Neodiprion lecontei: one gene and its partners. The protein of the gene in region 1 purifies or fractionates together with the protein of each later gene. This does not show direct contact. Links are inferred from orthologs where the notes say so. Each region holds a gene or a part of one and is shown in the gene's direction. Other genes may lie near its edges. The genes, in order: dnaJ homolog subfamily A member 2; endonuclease G, mitochondrial; nuclear migration protein nudC.

What was found.
Region 2: the proteins of dnaJ homolog subfamily A member 2 (region 1) and endonuclease G, mitochondrial purify together in Homo sapiens (affinity purification with mass spectrometry; 3 studies listed by BioGRID and IntAct, with this or other methods). This does not show direct contact. The link is inferred for Neodiprion lecontei from reciprocal best matches to the Homo sapiens genes DNAJA2 and ENDOG.
Region 3: the proteins of dnaJ homolog subfamily A member 2 (region 1) and nuclear migration protein nudC purify together in Homo sapiens (affinity purification with mass spectrometry; 4 studies listed by BioGRID and IntAct, with this or other methods). This does not show direct contact. The link is inferred for Neodiprion lecontei from reciprocal best matches to the Homo sapiens genes DNAJA2 and NUDC.

The regions. Positions count from the first base shown.
Region 1 is NC_060261.1:35,410,620-35,422,228, reverse strand, and holds dnaJ homolog subfamily A member 2, read left to right. Parts: upstream 1-2,260; 5' UTR 2,261-2,359; coding exon 2,360-2,428; intron 2,429-3,135; coding exon 3,136-3,361; intron 3,362-3,486; coding exon 3,487-3,562; intron 3,563-3,636; coding exon 3,637-3,717; intron 3,718-3,893; coding exon 3,894-4,153; intron 4,154-4,265; coding exon 4,266-4,609; intron 4,610-4,759; coding exon 4,760-4,942; 3' UTR 4,943-6,159; downstream 6,160-11,609. Other genes in the region: pre-mRNA-splicing factor CWC25 homolog, read right to left, coding at 1-619, 693-853, 1,394-1,733, 1,897-1,914; zinc finger protein Xfin, read left to right, coding at 10,338-10,814, 11,073-11,402, 11,513-11,609. UniProt on the Homo sapiens protein: Co-chaperone of Hsc70. Stimulates ATP hydrolysis and the folding of unfolded proteins mediated by HSPA1A/B (in vitro).
Region 2 is NC_060262.1:28,810,365-28,820,963, forward strand, and holds endonuclease G, mitochondrial, read left to right. Parts: upstream 1-5,281; 5' UTR 5,282-5,405; coding exon 5,406-5,654; intron 5,655-5,723; exon of another isoform or gene 5,724-5,802; intron 5,803-5,823; coding exon 5,824-6,017; intron 6,018-6,339; exon of another isoform or gene 6,340-6,341; coding exon 6,342-6,578; exon of another isoform or gene 6,579-6,786; coding exon 6,787-6,967; exon of another isoform or gene 6,968-7,253; coding exon 7,254-7,358; 3' UTR 7,359-8,016; downstream 8,017-10,599. Other genes in the region: kinesin-like protein Nod, read right to left, coding at 320-343, 671-755, 975-1,396, 1,491-1,586, 1,651-1,705, 1,870-2,434, 2,630-2,844, 3,068-3,378 and 1 more; protein crumbs, read right to left, coding at 10,293-10,520. UniProt on the Homo sapiens protein: Endonuclease that preferentially catalyzes the cleavage of double-stranded 5-hydroxymethylcytosine (5hmC)-modified DNA.
Region 3 is NC_060260.1:24,293,524-24,303,732, reverse strand, and holds the start of nuclear migration protein nudC, read left to right. Parts: upstream 1-4,343; 5' UTR 4,344-4,535; coding exon 4,536-4,607; intron 4,608-4,703; coding exon 4,704-4,781; intron 4,782-5,879; coding exon 5,880-6,089; intron 6,090-6,186; coding exon 6,187-6,390; intron 6,391-9,243; exon of another isoform or gene 9,244-9,972; coding exon of another isoform or gene 9,973-9,998; intron 9,999-10,209. Other genes in the region: GDP-fucose transporter 1, read right to left, coding at 307-511, 746-810; bifunctional peptidase and (3S)-lysyl hydroxylase JMJD7, read left to right, coding at 1,259-1,454, 1,949-2,440, 2,634-2,901, 3,168-3,357; uncharacterized protein LOC107227537, read right to left, coding at 9,973-9,998. UniProt on the Homo sapiens protein: Plays a role in neurogenesis and neuronal migration. Necessary for correct formation of mitotic spindles and chromosome separation during mitosis. Necessary for cytokinesis and cell proliferation.

The DNA.
Region 1 (11,609 bases):
CTTCGTCATTACTGCTATATTCAGGACTGTGTAATCTTTTTGTTTCTGACCTTAAAGACTTGCTGGATTTCCTACCAAAGTCATTTGAATTTCGACGTCGTTTGGTTTGGTGTCTATTTTTTTGGAATCCTTCAGTGTGGTTAACACTACCGGTTCTTTTGTGCTTGTCCTTAGACCCTGAGGCATCTTCCTCGTGACTGTAACTATTATTTTTATATCTTCTTCGATCCAATCGCTCATGTCCTCTTTCAGTATCATAGCTAGTGACTCTCGACTTATGGCTGCGTTTTTTAAATTCATTTTCATCAATGCTAGGCTGTTTCTTCCACGATTTATCTTTTGAGTTTGTTTTTCTTTCCATTTCTTCATCCTCACTGGTTTCTTGAGAATCGCTCGACTTTTTACTCTCCTTTTTCTTCTTTTGTTTTTGCAGCTTTTTCACGGACATTAGTAGGTCTTTTTCATTTATTTTATTTTTAAGCTTATTATACTTTGCAGCTAATAAATTGTCCAAGTCTTTATCACTGTCGCTACCTTCAGAATCATGCTTACTCTGCTTCTTGCTTTTCCTTTTTTTATGCTTTTTTTCAGCCTTACTTTTTGTTGCTTGCTCTTCCAACTGTATACAAAATACAAATGATATGTTGCCCAAAATTGCTGTACTACTATATTGATTTAATTGAACAACTCACTAGCTGTTTAAGCTGCTTCAGTTTAACAGGATTTTTCAACAACTGACTCCGGCTTTCCATCTCTTTTTTTTTTATAGCATACAATGGATCTTCTTGTAATTTTCTGGCTAAATCCACTTGTTCATTGCCCGAAAAGAATCTTAGTGATGGTGGTATGCATTCTGCAGAGGAAAAACAAGTGAAAGATAACCACAATAGCAAATTTTCTATATAGACAAAGCACTTAGCGAAAATGCTATAGTTGAACCTCGATTCTGCAGACTTTCGGCCCCTATCACACGAGAAAGAATCTGCGGTAGCACCAGAATTGGTTCTCTAAATTGTCCGTAGAATTGAGGTCCGACTGTATTTAGATGATTAAGCAACCCTATTTGAATTATCCAAAGAGATATACAATTGGAGTAGAATTATGCTACGCAAAAGTTTACTGGGCACGGTGTTAGTAGTTGATCCAATCCTTCATGGTTTTAGATATTCCAAACCAGATAACATTGTTGACAGATGTTACTGTTGTGGTATTTGGAAAACTACAATAACTTATGGACTGAACTCTTTCTGATATAATCCACACTAGTCCTGGGGGACTTTATTTCAAACTGAAATTCTTTTCGCGACTTGAATAGAGTTACAGTGTTATGTGTGGGTTCACTGAGAACTACAAACGGCTCATTTCTTTAATTATTTGAACCTTGGCAATTTACCATATTCTACATGATTTTTGGGTGCACGATTTTGCTCCGCTTCTTTCTCAGCCTGAGCCATCTGTTCAAATGGTTTATCGATAGCGCGTCCTAAGAGATAATCTTCCCGATTTAACATTTGATTAGGCCCCTGATACATCCAGTCTAATTTTTTATCCTCTTTTTTCTCAATTACGCCTTGGTCCATGGCATATTTTGTCATATCTTCTCGATCTTTCTCCATCTCAATCTCACGCTTTAACTCCGCTATTCTTTTCTTTTCCTGGCTGTTCTGCTGCTCCGCTTTCCACACCTTTTCCATATTTTTCATTGTAGAAGGATGCCATGACTTCTTCAAATTCTACATAATTACATAGTCAAACACGTTATTATAAGAAATTTTATGTTGTGTTTATGTTATGAAACCTGGGTTATGGAAAAAAACAATGCAAGAAATTCGGAGTAATCAAGGTAGGAAAAAAATTATTATATTGTAGGTTATTACATTTTATTCAACTACTTACAAGGTCTCCGCCTCCCATCTTTGAAAATCGGTGGTAAATTCGGAGCTTTCTTACTGTTCTTCGAATGCCTCACAATTTCCACGCAGCAGATTATGAACTTATGTCAATAATACTGACACAACTGAACATTTACTCACAAATAATCGTTGAGAAGATATTAAAACCACAAAGTAGTAATATGGAAAACCACAGGAAAATTACTAAGGTCCTTTGCCTACTGCGTAGAAACGGAAAAAAATGGAACTATTCAAGTTAGATAGAAAAACCTTTTGTAGTCTAAAATACTTAGATAGAGTTAGTTGACGTCTAACCTGGTAGTCAAGGGCCATGTTTTGTATCCTGAGTTCGGTATCTCAGGTACGTCTGATTACCCAACGACTAGAGGATTTTGGCTTGTGCTCCGCCACGCCAAAGTCGGGGCCTTTTATAATTTCTCTGGGATTATTCGATTTTTCATCGCATAATGGCAGATAATAAACTTTACGAAGTACTCCGAGTGCCACGAACTGCCGGCGACGCAGAAATCAAAAAGGTAACTGCATCATTCCGACAGGAATTTGCAAAAATATTACCGCATTATCTTCTCGAGGTCAAACCTTGTTCCCTATTCTTCAACAGATAATTAGCACTCCACGATGTGCAACTTGACTTTTGACTAATCATTCTTTCGTTATTAACGGTTTTCATTACATAACATTGTGAATCACTTCAATTTCTCTACTTATTTCGATTAAAATTATTATCGTTTTTGTTCTTGAGTTGCATACTCGTTTTTCTGTGCCTTTTCCTGACAAAGAAACAATAAATTTTATTCTATGGGTTCTTAGAATTTTTCCGCATTTTACCGTTACCTTTAGTGTCCCTCTCCACCAATGAAATAGTTCAATAGCCACTACCATTACCTACGTTTTTCATCAACTCTCAATTCTTCAGTGTGAAACCTTATTTTTATGTTTAATTAAATCATTTTCATTATTATTACTATCATTATTTGTATGGCTATTAATGTTTAGCAATTTGAATGAATAAATCACTTCGATATGGAAGCTGAGCTGCGCAGATAATAAATTCATCTTTATTGCTACTTCAAACAGACAAAGTATTGCAAATAATTTCACTGTACCTTCAACTATTTTTAAGTCTTCTTTGTAATTTTTATCCCTATGTCATAATTAAACATTAAATTTCACTAGGTGATAATATGTCACAAGATAGCCGTTACATTTGGAAAATTATCAGTCCTATAGAAAACTTGCAAAGGAGTTTCATCCCGACAAAAATCCGGAAGCTGGTGATAAATTTAAAGAAATTTCATTTGCTTATGAAGTCTTATCCGACCCTAAGAAACGCCAAATTTATGATAAACATGGAATAAAAGGTGTACAAGAAGGAGCCAGTGATGGATTTCCCTCAGATGACATATTTTCCCAGCTTTTTGGTGGCGGAGCCAGTGGTTTGTTCGGTGGTAAGTTTCTTCAATTTTGGACAATTTTTTAACCAACATTTACATGCTAAATTATTTAATCAAATGATTTCCCTTGCCTTTTTTGTGTCATTTTTTGATTCAATTTATACTGGATTTTTTTTAAGGACTGGGAGGTTTCGGCGGTGGTATGGGTGGCAGGCGAAAATCCCGTCGTGGTGAAGACACTGTTCATCCGCTCAAGTGAGTGTCTGAGAATAAATAATGACTAATGAAGCTTTATTCAAATGATCCTTAATCTGTATGTTTACTTGCAGGGTAACTCTGGAAGACATGTACAATGGAAAAACTGCAAAGCTGCAGCTCAGCAAAAATGTGCTCTGTGCCGCTTGTGCTGGGTAACAATTCATTTCACACTTTCTTTAAAAATATTTTAGCATAATAATGTGTTATTTTCTACCTGACTTTAATTTTCATCATGACTAGAGAAAGTCTGATTGCATTTGAGAATATCTTTGGTAGAAAAATTTCTTTCCAGAATTAATATATATACTTATCTAATATGTATTGTTAGGATTGGTGGAGCTGAAGGTGCTGTAACCACATGCAAGCAATGCCGTGGGTACGGTTACAAAGTTTCATACAGGCAGTTGGCACCAGGTATGGCGCAGCAGATTCAAGAGAAATGCACTCATTGTCAAACTACTGGTGAAATAATCAATGAGAAAGATAGATGTACAACATGTGAAGGCAAAAAAGTTGTCAATCAAACTAAAATTTTAGAAGTCCATGTTGACAAAGGAATGCGGGAGTCGCAGAAAATTCTCTTCAGAGGTAAAATTTTATGTAGATATTAGTTGAAATATGACCGAAATTTCTGAATAATGAACAAAATTGTCATAAATTTTTATGATCATGCAAAATATGATGTATTAATGTAATTTAGGCGAAGGGGATCAAATGCCAGAAGTACAGCCTGGCGATGTTGTTATTGTATTGCAACAGAAACCTCATCCAACCTTTGAAAGATCTGGGGATGATTTGATTATGACTAAAAGCATCGGACTAGCTGAAGCTCTTTGTGGAGCAAGTTTTGTAGTGCGTCATTTAGATGGACGAAATTTGCTCATTAAACATCCTGCTGGTCATGTGATTCGTCCTGGTGATGTGAAAGGAGTTGTCGGTGAAGGGATGCCACAGTACAGGAATCCTTTCGAAAAAGGGAATCTTTACATAAATTTTGAAGTAACTTTCCCTAAAAATCACTTTTGTTCCGAAAAAGTGCTCATGGTGAGTTTTGACTTTTTTTACCTTTATCTGAACGAACCATTAGCTATTCAATTTACTTTCTAATCCTGCCAGATTTTCTATCATAAAATTTGCACGTATGAAATGAGCATGTTCCTCTACCATTGATCAACGTTACTATTTTATGAACAGGATTTAAAAACAACGCTTGGACCAAACATTCCACCCACCGTGGTGCCGCGTGATGCCGAGGAAGTGGATCTGCAAGAATATGATCCAACGCATCGTGATGCGTCAGGACGATCGGCAGAAGCGTACGCGTCAGACGAAGATGAGATGCATCAACATTCCGGCGTGCAATGTGCACATCAATAAAATTTATAACTAATTATCTCCACCAGTTCTTAAAGAATAATAAAATGATTGAGTAGCTAATCACTCGACAAGTAACAAGTCGTCAACAAAGAGGGTGGTCACCAAAGTCCTCGGACATTTTTAATACCGTCAAGTATCGTTCATTTAAAGAGGAGTAATTAAATGGTTGAGAATTAGTACAATTTACAATCCTAAATCAACGAAAAGACAAAAATGTCATAAATTGTCTATACCGTTGATTGCCACCCGTGAATAAGCAATTTCTCTGGTTTTTAAAATGTGATTGCCACACATAGATGTTTTATCTGCCTGCAATTTTATCTATTTTAGTTTTATGTTTTATATCTCATTTTTCTATCATCTTGATAACAACATGACTCGCAAAATTGTTCGTCATCTGTACCTTCAATGAATACTTTTCTGAACAAAATGATATTAAACTTATAAACTACAACTACATCAACCAAAGCCGGAAATTGCAGTAAGCATAGCATCAGTAAAAGTATTCCGTCATGTACTGAAGTAGGTTTCAAGAGGCTTGATTCACAAATTTTCGATTTTTTTCTTATCAGAATATATTGATCACTTGCCACGAAGGCCATGCGCGATTTAAGTCGTCAATGTACAGAACAAGTGTTGATTTATTTTTTTATTTTTATTTAATTATTTGTTTCAGTGATATTTTAATTACTACAGTGACAAGTTTGTAATACAACCATTATAATGAATAATAATTGAATCATAATGCCAGAAATGAAGTGAAAAAAAACTTGCATGTGTTATTCAAATTCAATATACGACAACTTTCAAGGATGTAAGGAAGTGACAAACAAAAAAGAAAATCGCGAACGAAGTTCCAGAAGAACGAATTTGTATCATTCGAAAAATTCCCGACGTAGAAAATTATTTTATGTAATTGAATTGATCGAGGAAGTAAGAGTGAGCGAATGAGAGACTAGATAATTGCAAAATGGATGAATCGAGTATAAATATTGTGCAGTATGGTGAAAAAAATCGAGTACACTAGTTTTTCAGTAAATAGTCACATTTCACTCTGTACGCAGCACTCGTACACAAATAATTATCACATGTATCCATGTACATCATGTGTCTATAATGTAGATTAACCGTCGTCCTAATCGGCTTGGGCCGACATATTTATCAATTATTAGCATCAACTGCAGCCGTTTCAATAAAACGTATGCCTTGATCATCAAGTGATGCACCTTGTTCATCTCTTTTCCAGCACGCGCAAGGTGCGAATAGTTATTCAGAAAAATATTCCCCATTATACCAGCTAAGTGGATAAAATTATTTCGTGATTTAAAGGAATTTGCCTACCGGTTTGCGTTTCACTCACTCTGCTTATATAACTTCGTAAATATTTACTTGTTCGCTAATGAATTAAACAACCAGTAAGTTGGAGAATAATGGATGAAGTCAGATAAATATTATTCTTTAATATTTGTACCAAAAGTATTGGTAATAATCCGATTAATGGTGGAAATCCCACAGTCAGAAGATATTAAAGAAATTTCCGTTTCGTATACATCAATATCCCAGGAATATACCTTGTTCGAAGTCTGCTATTGAATCCGCATCCGACTAAGGGACATGCATACTTCTTTCTTCCATTGAATCATTTTGTTACTTCATCGCTCTTTCAATCAGAGCACAGCCGCAAATAAAGACATGAATGTATGTCATACATCTTATATTATTCTTCTGCAACTATCTGAAAGGTTATACACCTGTGGAATTTTTACTTGGCTTCAGTAAGAATTCTGCTAGGTTTGTTGTAATAATCCTGATATTACTGCAGAACAAAACGTTCGTGAATCCAGTTAGTTAATCCTGCACACGGTACAGACGTAGTTAAAATCAATACTTGCAGTAGTAATATCAATTTACGGGAAAAAGAATTCCGACTATTCGTTTCTGTATAAGGTAGATCAGTTCAATATAATTTGCCCGTATTTCTTTATTTTTGCAACAAAAGATGATGTCAAAACTTATAAGTTTCGTGACAGTATAAACGTTTCTCTTTCACAGGTTTGATATAGATAGATGTATTTCAGCATGGCTGATGTCACACAGTACCTTTTTCAATCTGCTGATACTTTGCTTTATCGACTTTGTTTTTAACGAAAAGGGAAACACGTGACCAGATCATTTTCCTCCTAAACTATTGAAATATAAAATAACCAAAAATCAACGAAACTTCCCTATTAGAGGATTTTTTCAACCTATAAGCACTCGGATAGATATACGCGTCGTGTATATACGGCATCGGAATCTCAGGCAATCAGGTAAAACTTTTTTCCATATTAGATAGAAAGTGTGAGCGTAATTCATTGCTCGTGATCAGTTAGGGGATCGTTTCTCTGTACTCTGAAGAGTTTGGGAATGTGTAATAGCGGTGTTGCACAAAGTAGAATACACTACATAGTTGACTCTGCGGTGTAAGTCTGACTTTGCACGATGGCCACTGCGTGTCCCTGGAATACTTCGGCGACGGACGTGCACGAAGATAACGGGTATCGAGCTAGGCTGTAGACGTAGGTACTTATTAGCCTTACGATAATCTTGTATACATTTATATGTTATACAGCGAAAGATACTTCTGATTTATAAATCACGTATTATAGGCGTATATGTATAAGTATTGCAATGTAAGATTGTACTGCCGCAATCGGCGTTCAAGAGAATATGAATCGGTCTGATTACATTTTGGCGAAAAATAATTATTTGGTAATTTTCGAAGACGGGAGAGCGTGCGTGCATGCAGCATATGTCGAATAATTATGGAAATCTTGTCTATATTTATAGTTGCCGAAGGTCAGGGTATCGTTTCTAATTTCCACATCAACCTATTCTGCTTTAAAATGTCAACGGCAATCTTATTACGAAAATAGTGAATATTCGATAATTTGCAGGAACAAAGTCGCGTTCGATATTATACGCATGCATGCACGTTCCTTGCACGTTGAAATGTCGATTCCATACGGATTCTCGCGCTATCGTCTCTCCGCGTATCTTACATGCATCTATATGCAGCGTTACTTCGTATCTATACCGTATTAGTGTAAGTTTAGTACGTATGTATAAAAAACAATATGCCGGTCATCACCGGAAATCCACGGCGAGGGTAATATCTCATGCAATCGCATTTGCGGTCAACTTTGGGGCAAGTCAGTTTTTTATTCTTCATTTCCTGCACCAATTTCTCCTGTCGATTGTCGGAATAATCATAACAGCTGCATGGTACTAGCCGCGTCATTTCCGGGCAGACCATTAATCGAAACAGGAAAAAAGGAGAGAGGAAAATGGCGACTAGGCGTTCGCTCACTGAATTAGTTCGCTTAGCCTGCACCGATGAATACTATGCTTCAAATCCGGTAAATCGGTGCTGATGTAGCTCAAAGTGTAGAATAAGTCTACCTTGATCATGGTAATAAATAAGTATATAAGGTCCTCTGACGCTATCGCATTTCGCGTCGGACCTGTCCCGTAGCCCGTAATATGCCCGTAGGTAAGTTGGAAGGGAGTGGAATTGCAGATGGCGCCCGCCTGCGCTACTTGGCCATCGGCGTCGTCAGTCATCCCGCATCCGGGAGGGGCTGACGGTGGGTTTCTTCACCGTTCTTGCAGAAACGATCGTCTCGCATACACAGTATAGACGTACAACACGTGCGCGATTAATACTTTATTGATTAATAAGGAGCTATTCGGAGGGTCATCGCTATTTTATTGTCCTGTTTATCCTCTCCTGATTATTCGCTGATTCCATCAACACACCTCGCGTCATTTTCTTCGCATAAATATCTCGCACTCCTCCGCCGAGACGGTCGTAGCTGTCGTAAACGCCTTGCGAAGCTCTTCGATCCGATGTATGTATACACGTGCCCCTGACACATGCATGGATCCAACGTGTATGTCATCATCGGTATACATTCATACTTACATCTACATGGACGTATATATATCACTATCCATAAAGTTGTGTGACCGAGCTCTCTATCTCTCCTTTTTTCTCCTGTTTTCTCCATACGTTAACACATTTATCGTCATTCTCTCTCCCTCTGGTTCTCTCACTCTCGCTCCCTCTTTAGTGCCAACAATTGTTTTCTTCAAATACTATAATCGCGATCGTCCGACGGCTCTTAAGCACTCGAGAGTCGGTGGCATTCTGTGCTTGCTTGCTGGCTGGCAAGCGTTGCAAGGCTGCAGGCTGCTCGGGACTTTCCTCGGTGGTGTGCGTGCTACCTACTACCTAGCTGTGTTACCCGCGTGCGCGAGTGTTTACACCGACGAACGAGACCCCGACGCACCGACGACCGACCGAGCGACCGCCTGCTGCCGCCGTCGTCGCCGCTGCCACCACCGCCGCCGCTCCTCCTGGCTTTCCTCTAGAGTCTAGTGGCAAGACGCAAGAGGCCAGGGCAGCAAGCAAAGCCAAAAGCACACCGTGTAAGAGTTGAGCAATACACGCAACACGCCGTCACGACCTCGCCGTATTCCAATAGCAAGGTTCTATGCCAGGCATCGTTGACTATCAGTGAATAATAACTTCGAGGGTCCGAGTATCAACTAACAAGGTACTAAATCATGTAATTACTCTGCATTACCACTGTCCTTCCTTCTAGACAAATATGCACGTTCAACTCGGCACGTCTCGCTGCCACGTCTTTTGATTGTCAATTTACTTATTCTTCGGGGGTTTATCAACTCTTCTCTCTTCTACTTGGGTACTGTTTTGTGTGTACCGTGCAGTTGGAAGACGATATAACTACAGCACATCTTGGGTCTCTTCGGAAAGAGGTAAAGAGTGAAGGCGGGAGCGAGAAGGGAATAGAGAGTGAGAGTGAGAGCGTGCGAGTATATGGCTTAGCTGGTTGTTAGGTTGGAGCGAGTGAGACGCACGCTGTCATTCCAACCAGCGCGGAAGTCGCATGGATATTGGATGTTCGGCGACGTGAGAAAGCGGAGGAACGGAAGGTCGGAAACAGTCATGCAATGGCGGAGTACCAACAGCTATCCTTCAAGTTGCTGTAATTAATCCTTTGTGCTTGTAATGCTAATTATCTCTACAGATTATTGTACTGGCGCTATGTTGCGTAATGATCGATTGTTTTGTTGCAACCATTGTGACCGATCAGTGAGCCAGTTCAGGGAATCTGGTTCTCTTCAGCTTTGGCGTAATTTCGATGAATAATCGAATGACATGTCCATTTATTTGACTGGCATTTTCAGCTCAGCGAAGAATGGGAATCGGATGCGTTTCAAGAAACTGGCACTCGACCCCAGCAATTTGGAAATTATTTTTCTAAGAACCAGGATTTTTTCAGGAGTTGATAGGGGGCTACGAAAAATAACAGCCACGGAACAGAACAAGATGGCGGACTCGCTGCCCCGTTTGCGAGCGCTGCGTCCTCGACCTCAACCTGCTGTAGCGGCTCCCCCACCCACCACCGGACACCCTGCGAAAGAAAGAAACCACGAAGTAAATGTCGAGGACGAGGATGAGCCGATGGAACAGGACCAAGAGCGCGAGGACACCAGGAGGAGCAAGAGGGGAGACGTTTCGGATGATGAGCCAACAGCAATGGCGGATGAAGAGGAGGATGAGGATGACGCGTCGGCGGCCGTAGAGGACGAGGAGGAAGAAGGGGAGAAGGAGGACGTTGATGAAGACGGCGAGGAAGATGACGAGGAGGGGAAATTGGTAATAAAAGAAGAGCCGACCGAAAGCCCGCTCGTCGATACAGAGGAGGGGTCGAAAGCATACGAATGTACAACTTGCAGGACGGTCAAAAAATTTCCCAGTCTTAAAAGCTACCTTCATCACCTAAAAAAAGAACACAAGCAAAGGGTGAGTGTTATCAATCGCGGACAAAGTCCCAGAATTATCGAATTTGATGCAGGAACCCATTGCTACAAGAATTCGAATTATAAATATCGATTACGTGCAGTATGAACAGTTGCTTACTGTACAGGCGAAAACAATCAGATCCTTCCTAGGATTGCCTATAGTTAGGCGCTGGCGGGGTGTCGCATACGTCATGTTCTTGCGCATAGGATCATTATTATTTTTACACAGCGAACTTAGTGATGAATAGCTCATTTTTAGGTAAGATGCTACGAGTGTCCCCATTGTGATTTTGTCTGCCAACACGCGAAAAAACTCCAGCGTCATTTTCGAGTTGCTCACGAGGATCTGCAGGACAAAATAGCTACGGAATCGGCCGAGAGAAGTAGATGTCCGATGTGCGCTCACGTTGCGGTAAACCAACGAGACTTGGAAACCCATCAACGCGTGCATCATTTAAAAAGGCGATTCTTCCGTTGCGCAAAATGCTCCTATGTAACGCACGTCCGCGCGAGATACACGAAACACGTCAAATATCACTCCATGCCTATGATAAAGTGCGATGCCTGCGATTTTCGGACTCCTTATAAGGTAGAAATAATTGTAACACTGCTGTTTCCGCATATTATTGTATCGTCTTCCTTTATCAAAATATCTTCATTAAAACGTGCAGGCAGTCTGACCATATTCTTTTTCTGCAGTGGAACTTGGATCGTCACACCCGAAATCACGGGGGTGGCGGAGCCTTTCAATGCCGTGCATGCAATTTTACTGCTGATATCAGGCAAAGCCTCACTG
Region 2 (10,599 bases), on another chromosome or scaffold:
AGATCAGTACTGTTGAATTCAAATTTTACTAATTCATGAGTTGAATAGCGTGATTTTAACTGACTAATGACTAATTTTGAAAAAAGCCTTACTGAAACAACATATCGAAAGTTTGTAAATACTTTCTTTGAAGTGACTACGATTTTTTATCACAGACTTATGCAAAGAAAAAAGGAGCTTATGAAATAAGTATAAAAACGATGGTAGTTAAAATTTTCAAGTAAGTAATTGAGTATATTATATATTTTTTTGATATTGCGCATAAGCAGACATAAAATCGTCAAAAAATTCCACCGTTGTTCAGCGAGCATACGAAATACTATTCCAGAAACACGTTATTTGCCTGAAACAATTAAGGCAAATAATTAATACATGTTGTACACATACAATACAATTATTGAACTGATGTATTGCAAAACTGTAGGATACACAAGAATCTCGATTTTAGAAAACGTATTTCTTGGTGCTGTGCTACTGAGAATGGTCAGGCATAGAACCAACAGCTCCATACATAAAAAAAATACAACTCAACATTTCGCACACAAGCAGCAACATATTGAATATACGGTTGAAAAAGGAGGTCTAAACGAATTTGATTGTGAATACTTTGGTCTCGAGTTGCTGTCAGAATCGAGGCTTGAGTTTATTGGATTTCAGTATTACAACTTACCGCAAAAAATCTGTCACGAACTTTTTTAGTCCAAATGGGGATGTTCTCTAAGTCTTTCAAAGATCTGAAGTTTCCATGTATCAATCTGGAATTATGCAATTGTTTGTGGTTATATTTGTTTAACATAGTATATCAAGTGTCCTTTAAACTTGTATATTTTTCATCAGTATATCTATGCCTATCCAATGCTAACTAACATAGATGATCAAGATTTGAGGTAACCCACTTTTGAAGCTAAAAGTCCTGAAAATCGCATTTACAGTCACAAATGCGCTTTAAATAGTTAAAACAAAATTGTTATTACCTGTATTGATATATTGTTATCGCTGTTTTGCATCCAATTAGTGGCAAGGCTGTCAGTTGTTCTGCAGTACTGGTATTTAATATTCTTAAAATGTTCTTACTATGTGCCATTCGCTTGTACTTCAATTCTTTTGTTTCATTTTGAGTATTGTCAGAACGGTCATTGTCTGAACGTTCATCATTCGATTCCTGTGAGTCTGGATCTTGCTTCAACATCGATTGTAAGTAGTTTTCAGCAAATTTCATCATTTTTCTTGAACTGGGACAATTAATTTGTTTACGTTCTAAGATTGTACCAGCATCATGTAGTTCTGTATTTGAGGGTGCAAAAAAATCAGTTGTTATAACAGCATTCATCCTTTTTATCATGTTTCCTCGTTGGTGATATATTCCGACTTTTCCCTGATCACCACCTGTCACATTCTGTAAAATCGAATAATATTGAAGGTTTAGCATTTTCTGTCTTCAGAAATTAACTTGTAAAAATTTATTTTCCGAGGTGAGCTAATTTTTTTACTGAAGCTTGATGAACAGATTGTGGTTGCATTGGTAAAATGGGACTGAGTAATTCAAGATCAAAAACTGGGCATTCATATTGCATTTCTGCAGATATCTGCAAAATAAGAAACAAATTATTTTCCTACACACGTACACTTTAATGCATATAAATTTCTCACCTCGGTTTTCAGTGTTGGTAGGTGCAGTTTTGCATTAGTTTCATCTACTGGGGAGCTGCAAAAAGTAATCACTCATTGATGAATTCCTATATTAAAAACTGAATCTGTACATAAAAAAATTGATATTAATAATTCACTATCTGTATAACATTGGGATAGCAACAATTTGCGATTGCGTAGTGATGTGAATGTGTCGCAGATACATCAATAAACATATACCTTGAACAACTATCTCCTTGAAGTGTGTCACATTGATATTGTTTAGGTCTGGTCGAGTTTGTGCTTACGCTAGTGTCATATTCACTTTCAGTTTGTAGTTCGCCAATAGAGACTGTCGAAGCTAATGAATGTAGAGGCTCGACAGAAGTCAATCCCGGTTGTTCATCTTTTACAGGCATATCAGTGGGCTTCAATGGCGTTACATTTTCTTTAGAATCCTGTTTCATTTCAGCTCGATAAAAATTTTCGTCAGTCTTTTTGAGAATTACACTACATATTTTCATCTTGTAGTTTGATGATGCTGCTGACACGGAATCTTCTGCAGGATCCAAAATCAGGACGGTGCTTCCAGCTGGTGATAATAATGTAGAAAGTTGTCGAGTCGTGTCTTCCAGCCGATTAGTAAATTTGGTACACGAAGTAGTACCGTTCATTTGCAGAGGGTGTATTTCTAAATTCTTCGTACGTTCAGCAAAGTGTAGTGCCTTCATAGTATTATTGTAATCAGACGGATGAGTAGTCATGCAAGCTACCAAAGATATAAGGCTCTTGCTATCTACAAAACCTGCAAGGAAATCGATTTGAAATAAAAAAACATAATTACACATAGAGATATGATTTGGCCAATCAAACAGGATAAACACAAGTTGAAAAATTGAAAAATGTGTTTTGAACCATAGAATATGTGCAAACGAAGTAGGGTGCAGCAACAAAGTTTGGTAGTAAAATAAAATTGTTCAGGTATGCAATTAATAATCACCTTTCAAAACTGATGTCAATGTACTGTTATTGTGCACTGTTGAAACTGAACCCTTAGCTTCTGGAATTGATGTAATCACTCTATTTAATATTGAAAGACTTTTATTGACATGACCTTTTTTAACAAATGCTGGATTATTCTCAGCTTCCATTTGGTCAAGAATTTCTGATCCTGCTAGATCTACTAGATTTAATTTTGATTCTAGTAATGTTTCCCTGCAACATGAGTTTTATATAATTCACTTAGAACATGTGTTAAATATAAGTCATGTAAAAAACCTACAGTTGTACAAGAAAGAGTGGTCAAATAGATTAATCATAGATTTTAGATTGCCACATTACTTACTATCCAAGAACTTGATATAATTATATTTGGATTTTTACAGTTATTACAAATACCAATATGAGGAGTAAAGATAGATATCATTTGATTATTTACCCATCTGGAATCTTTAGATGAAGTGTCACGATTGTGTGTGATTGCGGATCATTCAATGGCAACATGTGTTCTTGCTTCAATTCAAGAGCTGCTTTAATGAGTTGAAATCCTTCTTCTTTTGTTTTGATATTTTGAACTTTTGGATTTATTGCTACGTGTTTATGAATCTCAAGTGCAATCCCCATATTCAGTAGATCATGAGGTTCTTCATCTAATATCTCTATTATTGACATCGAAACTTCAATTGCATTCTGCTCAAAGACGTGCTTTATACATCGCTGTATCAAACCAGTGGTGTGCCAACTATTCAGCTATACAAAAATTTGTGCACAAGTCTTATACAGTAGACTATATAATCACAACTTATACATATCTTAAGAAAACATGGGTATTGTTTTGGATAATGTTTTCAGTGATTTGAAAAAAGTTGCAAGAGGCTGAATGTAATATGACTCTTTCTTTAGGTTTTACTTTCTAATTGTAAGAATTCAAATTGAGTAGTGCTGGAAACCAATGCTAAATAGTAATGATCACTCATTTGAATTCAATCTGTGTTTACAAAAAATGTGAAACTGTAAATTACAAAACAATGTTCTTTTTGCTTTTGTTCAATATTTTCTTGTTCGTAATACTGACAAAGGCATATATTAATATATCAATATTTTTGAGTCAGCCCATGTTTCAAAATAAAAAAGTTCTTCACGAACATTTCAGGCCAACAAAACTTAATTGTCAACTGAATGTATGGTTTCCAAGTTTAATTAACAGAAGTTTATGGTGAAATTTCTCTTTATGCAGAGATAATCATGCTTTTTATTTTTCAAATACAATGTGAAAAAGCCATCCGGAGCTTAAACATCCAGTTTCAAATATTCTTAAAAATTTTCCATAAAAATCTATGGTCTAAAGTTTGGAGCTTGTTTAAGAATAAAGATCCAGTGAACTTGTATTAAAATCTTTATTTATCGTGTCAGAAGACCAAATTTAAAATTTAATAGCATATGTACTCTACCATAAGTTATGGTTAGTATTTTTTGGTACTTGAAAGTGGTTTGTGTCACACTGTAATCTCAGTTGGACTGTGAAATATGTTCTCGCATATAGTGGCAAAATAATGATGTAGTGAAAAATTGGATCACTTAAGCTCACAGTCAGTATTAAACACAAAAGAGTTATTAAACTTTTATGTAAGTACAATAAATTATTACCAGTGGGAGTAGAGTTCCCATTGTATAAGATTTCCCACTTCCAGTTTGACCATATGCCAAAATTATAGAACTGTAGCCCTGGAGTGTTTTCTCAACCACGGAATATGCAACTGCCTTATAAACACGTTCCTGTGATGCATTCCCCCATTTGATATGATCGAAAGTGAATAACTCGCCATTAATTTTTAACGCTCTAGAGTCTTCTGCCACTTTGGATATAACTGACTTATAATCTGAGCTGGGTTTGCACGGTTTGATGCGTACAGTGACTTGTACGTTGGAACATTTCTTCTTAGATGATGATGCCATAACTGTTGCAACTTTCAGATGTACTTTATAGTCAACTAAAATTAGGAAAATAGAATTCGTTGCAGAGTCGTTGACGGAAAAATATTTTGTTTACGTTTTACACGTGAGCTCTATTACAAATAAAAATTCATTATAAGGGTTCGGTGCTACTTGGTTTCTGTATGCTTTTCTCTTCCGGACGAAATAAAGCGAGTTCAGAAAACTTGCGTCAGGTATACGGAAAAGATAGGCCGTATTTTAAAAACGAACGTTAAAACGTTAACGAATCGTGTATATTTTACCCTTGAAATATGTAACTCGACAGTATTGTGGAACCACCGCTATATCAAAGAGATTTCGAATCAATCTGGACTCGCTGCAAGTCTGGATAAGTTCCGCGTAATTGGACGGATCTTCCGTTTTGCGTCCTTCCTATATGTGAGTTCCAACTTAAAACTGTGATCTAAAACAAATGACGTGTCGTAAGGATCATTGAAAGCGACGTTTTGTTATAGGTATGTATGTATTCATTCGCTCAAGTTGAAAACTTCAGTCTACACCGCGCCACGAATTGTGGAAATTTGCGCTGTAAAATTGCTTTTACTGGCGACTTCCGGTCTATCCGGCAATCCGATTAGCTTTGGACGGGCCAAAACAAGCGAATGGAGCGTCCCGACGTTGAGTATGCGCAGTCGAAACTGATATCAGTGGCAGCTGAGTTTTTTGGCCTTAAACCAGGTCGTCTGCTACGGCGTGCGATATAGTACAGTTAAATCATTGGCTGCATTGCTGGAACTTTGTAAGCAAGATTCTAGTTACGAATAATAGCAAAAGCGTCAGGTATGGCTTTGAAGATAACCGCGTTAACCAGCGTTGGTCTCGGAGGATGGTACGCGGGCCAGCTTTTTGAGAAATGGAAACACGTTCAAAAAGATCGCGACTGTCAGACGAGTCTTCTCTCGGAGTTTAGCATTGAGAGAATGCCAGGACTTCCAATATTTGGAACAGTCTCAGCAGCAACTCCTATAGGATCGAACAATAATGATTCACATTTAACGAGCCTTTCAACGTCAACTTCGAGGACTTCGCAGGCATGTTATTCAAATTATAATTTATAAAGTATTTCCCAACTCAATTCGCAACTAGAACATCAACCCTACTTTGGTGTATCTCTCATTTTTATCCTTGTTTGCACTGTAATTAGCTTCAGGCAACGTACAAAATTACGTGTTAAATCCGTATCATTTTCACTACTAATAGATAATGAGGTTTGGTTTCCCTGGTCTTGATCATGTCAGATCGTATGATGATTTTGTACTGTCATATGACAGACGTAACAGAATTGCCCATTGGGTGTTCGAGCACCTTTCGAAGGATAATGTGAAGTCCAATGGAGACGTCGACAGGTCCCAGTGTGAATTCAAACCTGATAAAACCATACATCCATTTTTCAGGTAAAGTATGCAGTTCATCTCATTGTCAAATATGCATGAGGTTAAAGTTAGTAACATTACTGTAACAATGCACGTTTAGGAAAACTTGTTACTCCGCACCTTTGTGATTGTCTGAAATTAAGTAAATCGTAATAAACAAAACATACTCATATATTAGAAAGCCAACTCCGTGAAAATCATTTAAAAATTACGGAATAATCTTTACCTTGATGTTTCGGTACGGTAATGATAGTAAATTTAGGCTCATAAATATTTTAAGCAATTGCAAAGTAGTCGTAAGAAAATTTGATTGTGTATTAAATTCCCTCTGCTTTTTCATGCTAGGTCAGACAATAAAGATTATAAATACAGTGGTTATGATCGTGGACATTTAGCAGCAGCTGGTAACCACAAAGCACATCAAAAACATATTGAACAGACATTTTTCCTGTCAAATATAGCACCACAAGTAGGGGTAGGTTTCAACAGAGATGCTTGGAATAAACTGGAAAAATATGTGAGAAAGATGACTGAAATTTACACAGATGTGTATGTTTGTACAGGGCCCTTGTTTCTTCCTAAGTAAGTAGATGTATAAGTTTGCAAGTGGTATGAGAATTTATCCTTTGATGTCATTTAGGACTTAAATATAAGATTTTCATAAGAATTGCTAAATGAAAATATCCTAGTTTCTGATACTTGGGTTTGGGCCTTTCACTTTATAGATGCACCATACTTCTTTATTCATTATCGTTATAACGACATTCAATAATTATACGTATATTAACAGAAAAGAAGTTGATGGGAAAAAATATATAAAATACGAGGTGATTGGCACAAATCATGTGGCTGTACCTACGCACTTTTACAAAGTAATCGTGGGGCAAACTAAAGATTGCAGATTAGAAATGGAAGCCTTTGTGATGCCAAATGCTCCAATAGACAGCACGGCACCATTGACAAATTTTCAGGTATACCGTGGGTCGAAATAGCCTCTGTTCAAAACAAATAAGTGTAATAAAGTTTTCCAGCATATTTCATTCAATTCATAAATCAACCTATTCAGACACAATAAAATATAACACTAATTTTATGGGATATTATTTAATTCTTTGTCTGATGTATGATATTATTTTAGACACTTATTTGTAAGGATTTAAATATAAACCTCTAATTCACTATTTCCCCTTTGTATGACAGGGTTGAAAATACATTGAATAAGATTCTATACTAAAGCACCTAATATTCGTATCACAGGTACCACCGGAAAGTGTCGAACGAGCTGCAGGCCTTTTATTCTTTGACAAAATATCACGCGATAAATTATCCAAGATAAATGGAAAACGTGTTGGATGGATGTAATGTTTAATCACTATAACAGGAAGTAAATGAATTATACACATACAGAGCCTTTTCCCTGACTCTAAACAGGGAATGCAGTAGAAGCCTGCTCAATCAAATCTTCATGCACAACAAAAATATTATGCAGCTTGCTGCGGTTTGTTACACCTTGTGTATAATTCTTTTACATAGCTTCAAGGAAACAGCGCTCTACATATATTTTACTTCTGTTGACTACATCTATAGATTTCTTTTATTTTGTTGAAATTGTAAATACTTAAATACCCTTCCAGTCGGAGCTATAGGTTTGAATTACCGAGAGCAAAACACATTGTTGAGTTTCTTAAAAAAACTAAAAACAATAATATAATCTCACATTATGTGTTATGTAAATATTTTATTTTAAAATTCGTAACCAAATAATAGCTCCTACTGATGCATCATAATCCATAATGGTGCTGAAATATACCTAAGGCCTGATTGTACCATGGCAAATTAAAGTTGAGCTGAATTTCAAGTGCTAAAAATGAAGTTAAGATCCACTTTAATTTCAAATAACAGAGCAATCGGGTCTTATATGTAGATACTGTATAGTTTTGTTCTAGTCTTCCGTGTGTTGCAATGTAAATATTACCGTATCATGAGCTGAAAAAATAAACAAATAAATATTTTCAAATAACTTGCGTATTTCATCACTCTTCACTTGTCCATCTCCCAATAATTTAATATCAACGAAGTTCAGAGTCACATGGGGTAAATTTATCGTCCAAATATTTTTCATTCACGTTGTGTGAAAAAAATTACAAATTTTATATTTACAATTTCCGAAATAAATGTATACAATTTTATTTTGTACAATAAGCTGATATATTGTTATATAGTAAAGGAGGGCTGTTAGATGATTTACTGTTTTACGAACTGTAAAAGTAGTTATATAAACTTCTTACAGACCTATTTTCTCTGTATAAAATACTTTCACCAATATCTGGTTCGAAAATCATTTTAATAAATCTGCTATTTCATATTATACTTGCTGCTACCATGTAGCTGTACACTTCGAGTGAATACTTTGCAAATAAATGTTATTATAGGTATACTATAATTCTGTATTTATTATTACAACTTTGAAGTTTTGTCTAAGCAGAACTGTAAATATATGTATATATATACATATACGTATAAATGAATGCAGTTAACTTTTACATAAACTATGAATCAGAAGAAAATTCTGCATGCAAGTTGCAGCTACTAAACGCCACAGTGATTCTGATTTAAATAAATTAAACATGCAGATCAATGTTGTAACTATGCAATTCATTCTTGTTTACAGAAACTCAAAACTTGAGCCCTGAACACTATACAAGACGAATAACACGATTTTCGTAAAATCGTAAAATCCTTCCGATCCAGTCATTTCTAATGATTAAATTCGAGCAAATTCCTTCCTACAATCAAAAACTTTCACTACAATTACTTTGGTCGTCATGGTAAATGTTATATACCAAATTAAAAATCAATTTTCAGTACGAAATGTGTATAGAGATCTTATCCATAAAAACCACTATTAATATCCTTAACTTATAATCTACAGTATTTACAAGAATAATTAACGGAGTGCTGTTTTAAAAATCATAGTTCCAGGCTCATCAAACGAAACAAAATACATTTCTACAAATGATTCAAGCACTTCTATACCGTTCATAAATAGATTATAATTATCAATATCATTATTATTATTATCAGTAATCCTTCACTGATATTTGCGTTTATTGCTCACGTTTAAGTAAAGACATCAAATTATGCTTCAGAGATCTTTTAATAGTCAAATATTGGGAATATTTTAAGTAGTATATCTCTATATACATAGAGACATTCAGAGTGGTTGTACATATATATTAGGCACTAAATGGACGGGTTGCGTTATATTTATAGGCCTTCTTCAATATTATAAGTAAATTATTCAACATTAAGGACACTTATTATCGCTTAAGTACACTTCGAATGGATTCGTTTAGTTTAAGTATCACTGTTAATCTTATACTGAGCATATATAGGAACCTACTCGAGTGCATTTATTTTTTTGTTTTCGGAATGCATTGTAACGATATATCTAGGTCTCGTTTTTTTTTAACACTAGCTTCTGCATATCAGGTGTTATTATTGTCATTCTATAAGGCCGTCATAAGTTGACTGGTCAATGATGAGAAAAGCTTACAATTAGTTTTCAAGACTATCTAATTATATGAAATTGTTGGGCAGATAAAGTGTGACTCAGATAGCCTAATTGCTAATAAACGGTTGAATTTCGTTTAAAACTCAATCCTGGATGGCGATCCTACATTTTTTCACACTTGATCTAAACATCACCAACTGCATAAATCTGATGGTGGCCTGATTTCATATATATTGCGTCTAAAGTAAACTGCTTAAAAAATCCATTGGTAATGCAATACTGTAACAGAATATTTTTCAGAACTTGGGTAAATGCACTCATGAAGCAGTTATCCTGAAACTCAACTGATGCTAAAAAAAGCTCTCCTAATTGTTTCTAATTCAGTTACTGCATATAATAGTGCATTTTAAGAACCGCAATATAACATTCATGTACATGAGTAAAATACGGCAATTTCTGGTCGTTTGTCATCTGCTAGAAGGTAAAACAGTCAATAAAATTTATATTAACACCTGCTTTTGTCTTTTCTCTTTAGAAACTAGATTTCGATTCAATTGAAAATTCATCAGTTTCAACATAAGCAAGTTCACAAACGAAATGAACATCCGCCTAATATACAGAAATAATCGTTTCTATTACTTATCTATACCCTTATTAACTGGTGTTATGACAAAAATAATGCTTACAAAATCTCATTGCGGCTGAGGAGTAGAAGAAACAATAACTTATTCAAGGGACTAGGTTTAACTGACGACAACTCATGTTTACACACTTCAAGTTCCCTAGATCAATCTTTCTTCCGGCGGAGGTTTCATCACATTGTCCATTTCTACTCTGGGGTTACTAAATTCTTGAGCACTGGGGCTATATGTACCGCGAGTAGCCCGTTTTTTTCGAGCCATCATAAAAAGGGCTATTAATGACCCTGCACCAATCAAAAGTAAACAACCCACGATGGGGCCAACTATTACAGCAATGTCCAGTGCTTGGCTGCCCAAAGAAAGTTTTTGCTAAAAAAAAGTTTAATTACGTTGACATCACAAGAAAACAGTTCTCATTATTACATTTTTACACCGTAACCCTTCTGAG
Region 3 (10,209 bases), on another chromosome or scaffold:
GATTTCTGGCATTTGTCACGTTTGAAAATTTACCCTTACAAGATACTTTTTATTTAACAAATGGAATTTAACTACTTGTAACTTTGAGTTCGGAAATTGGAAAATTGTTTAAAATTATTGAAAAAAATTGTGACCATTTTAGAGGACTTAAATAAAATTTAAAGATATTATAAGGATCTTGAACATTTTCAAGTTATGCTGTATATTTATGTGCTCAATAATGTGTATGCCTGTGACTTTTTCAATATGTTAAGGATAGTGAAGTTGATTTTCACATGTGATGAAAGGGATAAAGAAAAGAACTACCTTTCTCACAACATCCATGCAGTAAGGATGTCCTTCAGGAAAACTGATCCTGTGTGGAAAGAATTTGGCTAGCTTGCTCCAAGTGGTACATATTAAAGCACTGACTACGCATTGAAACCAAGTAACAAATAGTGGCGCATCTAAATTGACTTCGTTACTAGAGAGGAGAGCCTTATTTACGAAAACAGTTAAAATGGAAACGATCCTGAAATGAAGTAAGAATTGTACTAGGTAAAATTTGAGAAAATCTTTTTTATCATCATATTTATTGGTAACGCAATTAAATAGTAAGATAAGTTGTGATAAAGTTAATTTTATTTTCAAGCAACAACCATGGCGCGCCAAGTTGGCCAAGAAATCATCAGAATTTAAATCGTTAATAAAAAGAAATAAACGTAAATATATGTATTTCAAATAATAATAACATAACCTAACTGACCAGTAAGTTGCAACAACAAGGGCGATGTGGATGTATTGGGAGACGAGACCAGGTTCCACTACCATTTTAAGGAATATAATTAAAAATTAACGTTAAAGTTTACTTCTCACGCTAATGCTTGATAAGAATTTTGTGACAGGTGGCATTTTTTGCTTCCTGGCGCGGACCAGATATGACACGAATCAATCGGGTGCGTCAACCGAACCCCTGCAAAGTCCCTTCTATTTAAAATTCGAATCTAATAACAGTATTTGCGGTAGGTCACCGTTGTTTCAGATTGTAAATGTTAATACTAGACAAGCTGTTTAGACGATTTATCATCGAATCAGCATCTATCGGTCATTTTCTACTGTGCTAAGTTCTTCTACAGCGCGTATTTTCGTACTCCTCCTAGTGATTATTTTTCTATTATTACAGCAGTTTCGCATTCCGTAAAATAATATCTAGAATCGAGAGAGATAGCCTGTGAAGTTTTCGACGGAGCAACAGAGACGCGAAATCTCAGCTGTTTCTATGCAAAACAAAACCGGTGACGACGCGACACGTGTGACATGTGTAATTCTATTAGATGTATGCGATCTGCATCAAAATTCCATCCAACCGCGCTGTTTTAAATGTTCTACTTGTCACGTTGTTGTGGGAAAAATGTTGCCCGAAAATGAAGATAAAATAAAAAGATTCTGCAACGTGCTTTCCCAAGAATCTAGAGGTATTTTGTACATGCACGATGATGAACATAACCACGATCAACAACACGAGGATATTTCTCGAACATTTTATCGCAAAACTACTTCCCCTTTCACGTTTTTTGAAAAATTTACTGTGGAAAGCAGAGAACAAGATTTTATGGATTGTTTTATATGTCTTTGATCCGCAAATTTAGTTTTGCCTTTTGCTAATTCTTTGCGTTTTTCAATAAATTTAATTACGATAGGAGGTAAAAAGCATGTATATTTAACATTTTGCCTTTTGTCTTGGCATCGTACAATTATACATCCACCTTTGTGATCTTACTATCACATACAATAAATTATTGCCTTCTTCTTTTAACAACATTTCTGGTATATTTTGGAATGTGTAGATGTTTGCTTAGAGCTATTAACAAGTAATACGTTCCGACAAAAACCTTATCACATTCATATATTTTTGGAAAAATACTGCATATGCAATCGGTTAAATTATATTTTCATAATTTATTTCCAGAACTTTACTTGACCAAAAAGGTATCCGAGGTCGAAAGGTCGATTTCTCCACTCATTTTCCATCGAGAGTATGTATCCAAGAACTTACCACTGCTTATAAGAGGCGGAGTTAGCCAGTGGCCAGCGATTGGTAAATGGAATATACCATACTTCCGCGAGACACTTGGTGACAAAATTGTATCGGTTGCTGTAACACCGAACGGATATGCTGATGCAATTGCAGTAAAAGAGTTGGAAGATGGAACTGGAAAAAAAGAGTATTTTGTCATGCCGGAGGAGCGGCTCGTCCCAATGTCCACGTTTTTGGATGCATTGGAAAGTCCAACTCAGGGAAATGTCTATTATATCCAAAAACAAAACTCTAACTTCAACGAAGATTTCCCTGAATTGTGGTCGGATGCTGGAACTGACATTTCATGGGCTACTGAGACTTTTGGAAAAAATCCAGATGCCGTTAATTTTTGGATGGGCGATCAGAGAGCTGTTACATCAAGTAATATTGTTCAGGTCTTCTAGTTGATAGTGGACAAAGAATTTCTACAAAGCATATTTCTGAGACCCTGTCAGAATAGAGGCTTCTAAACAATATCAAGCAAAAGCGCGATATACCTAATACAATAGAATAAGGTGGAGCTCACAATTTTATAGTGTTCTAAGTCCATAATCAATAACATTATTTTCTACAGTGCACAAAGACCCATACGAAAATATTTACTGCGTCATAGCAGGTGAAAAGGAATTTGTGTTACATCCACCCACAGATTTACCATGGATTCCTTACAAGAATTATCCACCCGCAAATTACCGTGAAATAAAACCAGGGGAATGGTTGATTGACCCAATCATTACAGAGTCAACAATAGATGAATTCTTGGAGGAAAGAAATGATTTTCAGTTGGATTTTAACGTTATACCCTGGATATCGATTGATCCTTTAAACCCAGATTACATGAGGTGAGTAACGTAATATTAAAAAAATGTTTATCAAAATTTGAAATTAGTAATTTCATTAATGAGTGTATTGAATTTATATCGGTTCAATAGAGTGATATGTACAAAGACGTTGTTAGCTTCGATAAATGAGTCTTGAAGAAAACAGCAAGCGATGCCTGAATAAATATTATCTATACAGTGTCTGTACATCAACAGCTGAGCCAGTATCAATTGTCAATTGATTCTCAATTTACTTTGTTATACTGATTAAATATTTCCAATTACAGATACCCAGCTTATAAGAATGCAAATACACTCAGAGTAACAGTGTGTGAAGGTGACGTTTTATATTTGCCTTCGCTGTGGTTTCACCATGTCACACAGTCACATGCATGTATTGCAGTGAATTACTGGTACGATATGGAGTATGATATAAAGTACGCTTACTACAAAGCTTTGGAGGCCTTGTGTAAATAGACGATTGGAGTTAAGGGTTCGAATCACATCGTGATCAAAATTTCAATTTGAATTAGTATATTATTTCTAACACTTAACTCCAGTTGCGTTCATAGGGCTAAAAAAAAAACAAGTAAATAATAGAATAAAGTTAGTCTTTTGTAAATAGGTACATGTTGCCGGTTCTTAAAACCTTGTAGAATTTGGAGGTGAACGAAACCAATGCTTCTATTTTTTGAATGTAGTGACACTTGTACTGAAGATGGATTATTTACGGGTAAATCCGCCTGCGCATCGGCAATTTGAAGTCAATCGCTGATCTCTACATAACAGACAGTGCTTGTTATCGGTATTTTTTTAGTCCCATGCTCCTGGTGTATAAGAAACAAATATCAAACGTTAAATGTTAAAACAATTGCTGATTGAAGGATGGGTCTTGCCGTATTTTCACGAAACAATCCGTATATTAATGAAAAGATAAATCTTCGAGATCGCGCCTTATTCTATGCCACCCACCGTACGTCTGGAACATTGCGATGACAGCACCACGGGAAAAGTGAAGTGCAAGGTCCGTGGTAGTATGCATGATTTGAAAAGTTAGATACGATCATGAATTTAGATATGACGCTGTATCGACGGATAATGTATCTTCTGTCAATGACCAGGTTTCAAGGCCACGTCGACCATTTCGTTGACCACGACCATGTGATGATTTGCACACTTTAAAACAAATCCGCTACTTGACCTCGAACGCAATTGGTCGAAAATCCAAGATGGCCTTCACACGGATTAGGCACGCGATTGGTTCTTTGAGTTGGGTGCATAGATATGGGCGCGTTCCGAAACTAGTTGACAAGAACTGTGGAAGACAGAGACAGAGCTAGTCACAAATTCGGCTACACAACAGAGATAATAAATTACTGACAGCACCGAAGCTAATTTCGGAACGCACTCTATACAGAGTTTAGTGGAACATGAGTGGAACACACCTTCTCATCTTCCTACATCATGGCGTACTGTGCGCGTAGTTCGTCATTTGTCTGTAGACTACGATTGGCGTACTGCACGTTTCCAGAATCGGCGTTTCTCAGGCAACTGTCAAGTGTGTATCGCGCATTTATCATTTTATAGTAGTAAAAGTTAAAACTGGTGTGATATCGATATTTTGGGAATCAAAGATAGGATAAAGATTAGAAAACATGCCGAAGGAAGAGCAATTTGACGGAATGCTGCTGGCGATGGCTCAGCAACACGAGGGAGGCGTACAAGACGTAAGATTTGCGTTGTTTGTCACGATCACATAACCTCTAAGTCAGCCCGGTAATTCACTCTGGTTTCTCTGAAACGAGGATTTTCGTTGTTTACAGCTTTTGGATACGATATTCAGTTTCTTGGCTCGAAAGACTGATTTCTACACTGGAGGTGGTGAGGGCGCAGCAGAAAAGGTATTTTCTCTAATATTTATCGCACACGTTTGTATGGCATAGTTTTCGATTGACCCGGTTTCTCGCATCAACCCTACTGACTTACCTGTCTTAGTTTGCAGGTGACAAGCCAACATGTAATTTTTTTGTCACCTACTAAATTCCCAAATTCACACTATGCTGGATAACGATACTAAAGACAAGTATTAACTAACCTAACCTAATTTAACCTCACAAAAACTTGTATTTCACCATCTATCTGCACAAACGTTTCATCAATGCAAGGCTTATGATACTCAATAATAAGTCCATGACAAGTCGCTGTTGTTTGTTTGATTTTACAGCTGTGCTGTATTAATTGTGGCCCTAAATTATTGTCAACGCCTTTTAGTCACCAGGCCAGGTACAACGAATAAACTGAATTCATTGAGGCGTGATACAGACTTTGTTTTAGAGTATTGTTTCCCAATGTTTCCAAACTGTTTATCACCTCATTAGTGAGATTGTCATATTTGGATAAATATTATTCCTATCGATATGTTTATTATAAAGACATTTTCATCGATGCCATGGAATCAGATTATTGTATATGACAGGTCTGAATGAAAATGAGAACTGCACTGTTCAATAAATACTTTTAAGGATTTGAGTACTGTTGAATAATGGTTTCTTGACCTCGTTAGTTGTTGAGTAAATATTATTCTTGGATATGAAGGTCAGTAAAAAAAAAAAAAACAGTTTTTTTTGTCAACGTTTCAGCCCAGATGGGGGCCCTTCTCAGAACAATTATATTTAGGAACATCTGTCAGAATCAGAAATAAAGGCGACGATGCAGATTATACTGCACTCTGATACATAGCATTGTGCATAACTCACCTGGAATGTCAACATTTTGTTGCATTTCAATGTTCATTTGAATCTCAAACATGAAACTTGAACATTTGTCATGAAATTGAAATTGGTGAATTGAAATTTGGTTTTTGCTTAAATATCATCTTTTATAGTAGCGTACGAATGTTGTAATTAGAATTTTGTCCACGTTTAGTTTTATTTTCGCAAAGATGGAAACGTAAGCACCGAGAATTTTTCTGACATGTTCTATTTCTTGGCCTGTTATAGCTTGTGATGAGTAAATTTAAGAAACATGAGGCAACTGCAGTAAATAAAGTATCAGCTGAGAAGGCAGAGCGAGCTGAGCAAGAAAGGAGACGTAAGGAAAGAGCAGAGCGAAAGAAGAAAGAAGAGGAAGAACAGTTCAAAAGCGAGTCAAAGATTGTTGAATTGACAGACGAACAAGCAGTCGAGCTGCAAGCTGAGCTCGACAGCAAAGTAAGATCATGATAACTGACAAATGATTTTCGAAACTAGACCTCACCATGCAGTTATGAACAAAAATGTAAAATATAAATATCGTAACTTTTTTCAGAAAGTATCTACCGAGCCACCAGCTGTTGCCGGACCTAGCGGAGATATTGCACAAGTAAAGACTGAGGAAGTTGGTAGTGGTAAACCAGAGAAAGATGATGACGAGGAAGAAGATGAAAAGGAGAAGGGGAAATTGAAGCCTAACAGCGGTAATGGTGCTGACATGCCTAACTACAGGTGGACACAGACTCTTCAAGAAGTTGAGGTGAGTTTTTGAACAGTTTTTAACTTTCAAGTAAAGCTAAAATAAGGGAAATCTGTCCGTGTACCATTCTTTTTTTATAATTATCCTCCCCTGCATTTATGTACAAAAGTTGTACATTTTTAATGAAAAATTAATTTTTAATTTCAAACGGTCTCTCTTGCATTAAAAAAAAAAAATCGGAACACGGCAAAGAGGATAAACTATCCCCAAATGCTGTCTCCAAATTTGAAGCAAAACGCTTGAGCCAAAATATACGTGTTTGCCAAAAAAAAAATGTATCTATATTCTCGACATCAAAATGCAATTTCAACTTTCAAATTCGGCACAAACGTTCTCCTTCTAGTGGCTAAATCTTCAAAAGTAATTCAACGAATAAAGAGGTATAGGAAAGGCCATGAAACACCCTTTAAACTGATGTGATACATTCTTTTCTTATGATTGTTTTTCCGTAAATTTTAATGTCAGATTCTTTAACCTTGCCTCTTATTATCGGCTGCCAATTTTAAAAGTCTAAAAAATTATCTTTTTATTCCATTTTTAATTGTATATCGACACACAAATTTAAAAAAAAGACCCGCGATCTGATCTTTGTGAATAAAATCAATCTTGTCTTACAACGGAACATACCAAAGTTTGAAGTTCTTTTTTTAAATTACCGTTCTTCAAATACTCAAAATGTGGTTTCTTTTTAGCCGAACTCATTCGGAATCGTAATTTACTTTTCATATTGTCCATTTACTGCATGAACACTTTTTCCTCATCAGAAGAAATATTTCCATTTTCAATATGTAAAAAAAACCAGATAAAGTTTAAATTATATTTTTCAATATTTGTAGAATAGTAACTTAAAAATGAATCCTATACCTTGGTGTGCACCACCATGATGCAAGAGGATCGAATTTTTTCAAATAGATTTGATCGTACCTCCATTTTGAATATTGATTAGTTAATGTACAGCTAGTAAACGAATATAACCATATTTTTTTTAGAATTCTAAAGACACAGTCAACGGCAAAAAGTAAGGTCAAAGAATTCACCCAATGAAATTCATTTCCAGAGGTTATTTCATGCCCTTTTCGATATCTCTTGATTTTCTTCAACTATATTCATTACCTTTGAAGATGTATGTAGTAGAAGAGCGTGTGTGCAAAATTGTAAATTTGCAATTATATTCTGAAGTCGAGAATATGGATGCAACGTTTTTTTCTTCAAACACCTATCGCTTTTTTCCGATGAATATTTTACCAGCAAAGTATTCGGTTCGATACGGAATGTCTCATATACACCTTCTTAAAAAAATTCGTCATTTAAAATTTTTCAAGTAGGCTCGTGATAGTGTAGAAATTTTTACCTAGTTCTTGGCAAAATACAGTATGTAAATAAGACGAAGTAATAATTCATCTTTTATATTTTGTAATGAGTATACACGGAGAGAAAAATCTGAGAAAAATTACCCTGCTGTTACTAATCGTGATGTAAAAGACACCTAAGATTTTTCTCTCCGTGTACAGTATTTTATAAAGTACTACAAGAATTAGAAAAAAAAAGATGTTTCCATTTCAACAAGTATCTTTAACTCATTGTCTCTTTGTCATCGGTTCTCTACAATAACCACGTTATATGAATTACGTAATTGAAAAATTTCGCATTACGCAAAAAATACGAACATTATTTGCAGTATGATTTCGTAATTGCTGTATGTCTAACATTATTAGTCAATTTTTACTTCTGAAATTACAAATATTTGTCAAAGAGTATTCATTAGGCAGAAAAATTCCATACTTACCTTATAATATTGAAAAATCGGTATCGGGCGTGAAAAATTTATTTAGGTAATAATAAAATATACGTGTCCGCTTATTTTGGCCAAGGAAGAAGTTACTTCAGTTCTGGAATATAACCACCGATTTTATCTTCGATTGTTCTTAACATTCCATGGAAGTATTTTAATTTTTCGTACGATCAGAAATGACTTCATTTCGCGTGTTGCGCAATGTTTTTCGTTGTTTTGAAATTGTTTGATCGACTAGTAGTAAAATGTTGACTATTACTTACGTAAAAATACGACCTGCGCTCCGATGAGTGTCGAAATTTTTTCGTTATAATTGTCTGAGCATTCTTATTACGCATTTGATAAAAAAAATACGCATTATGTCACTTGTGAATGTAAAACGAGGCAAGGATTGTGACATTCGAATAGGAATCGATAATCGTTGGATTTATACGAGTGGCAAAGAGGGAGGGGATAAGAATAAAACACTTGGCGATAATAATTCGAGAGTTTCTTGTTCAATCGATGATTAATTAATACACAAGTAATATCACAGATACAAAGAATGATGATGCAACCATCCTTTATCAATTATCGATCAATGAAATTCCACGTTCTTTTTGTTTTGTATACTTTGTTTTTAAATTATCTCGCACGCTGCCTTCACACGTTGGTTCGAGACATCGCCTCCAAGTTTGATTTAGACTTTGTAAAAAGTTAGTAACAATTAAATTATTAACTCTAAATTACATATCTAATTAAAGAATCTTAATTAACGATGTAATCAAGCTGCATCTGGGTTCTATAATAATAATAATTATTGTTATTGTTGTTATTACTATTATTATTATTATTATTATTACTACTACTGCTACTGCTACTGCTACTGCTGCTACTACTACTACTATTGCTATTTTTTGTTTATTTTTCTTTTCAAATTTTCTCATCGTAGATATAATTTCATATACTCGAACGTCAGAGAAATCTACGGAATGTTCGACGATGCGAAAGTATACTAAATTTTACCTTTACATCAAAAGCTTTCTGAACGGGTAGGTTTATATGGTTTACATAAATGTTTGCTAAACTATCCTGGAACCGCTGTTATAACATATTACTTGTATGATTTTTTTTTTCTTTTTTTTCTCCTTTTTTATCGAAAGATAATAAATAATGTTGTTAATTTGATTGTATATCATATATTCAATATTCGTTTAAACAACAAGGGCTTGGCTTGCGTTTGATTTCTCAATTCTGCTATATTTTCTTTTGTCGGTTGGTTTCGGCGATTGCTTTTGTTTTTGTATTTTGTTTTTTTTTTTTTTTTTCTTACAAGTTTGTTTTTTCGTTTCGTTCTTTTTTTCTTCATTTATAAATTATTACGAATCTAAAAGGCCTTATCGAAGTACACGGCACACAGCGCGCTCATTACATAAATGTAATTACTAATTTCACGTACCACACATTTAACACAGTGCAATACAGCCTTAAATCTATCATATTATATAGATTGATAACATACTATACGTTATTGAACTAATATTCTACTATACATAATATTGAATTCATTGAAATCCGTACTTATTCGGATTCTTGTTTGTTTTCGATGTCGAGTAGCAAATTTTCAATTTATTATGTCGTTCGATTAATTTCGTATCAAATACCGTATCAATATATTATAATCTATTCTTCTTTTTCTTCTTATTCTTCTTATTCTAAGAATTCTCTTCTTCTTCTTTCGCTTCTGCTTCTGCTTCTGCTTCCTCGTCCTCTTCTTCTTCGGTGTTTATATTACGATGATGCTCTCGCGTTTAATTGTACTTGTCGCGAGCTCTCACTGTAACACAAGTAAAACAGGTTTTTTTTTTTTTTTATTAAAATGATTAGTTTTCTCTTTATTTCGTATACGAATTACACAATTCAACACTTGAAGCAATTTTTTATACACAATTAATAAATTGTTCAGAGTTCTGTTATTGTTAAGAAAACTGTGAAAAATTTTACTATTTATTTACGAATGAAGTCCGTTAACATTGAAATTTATACAT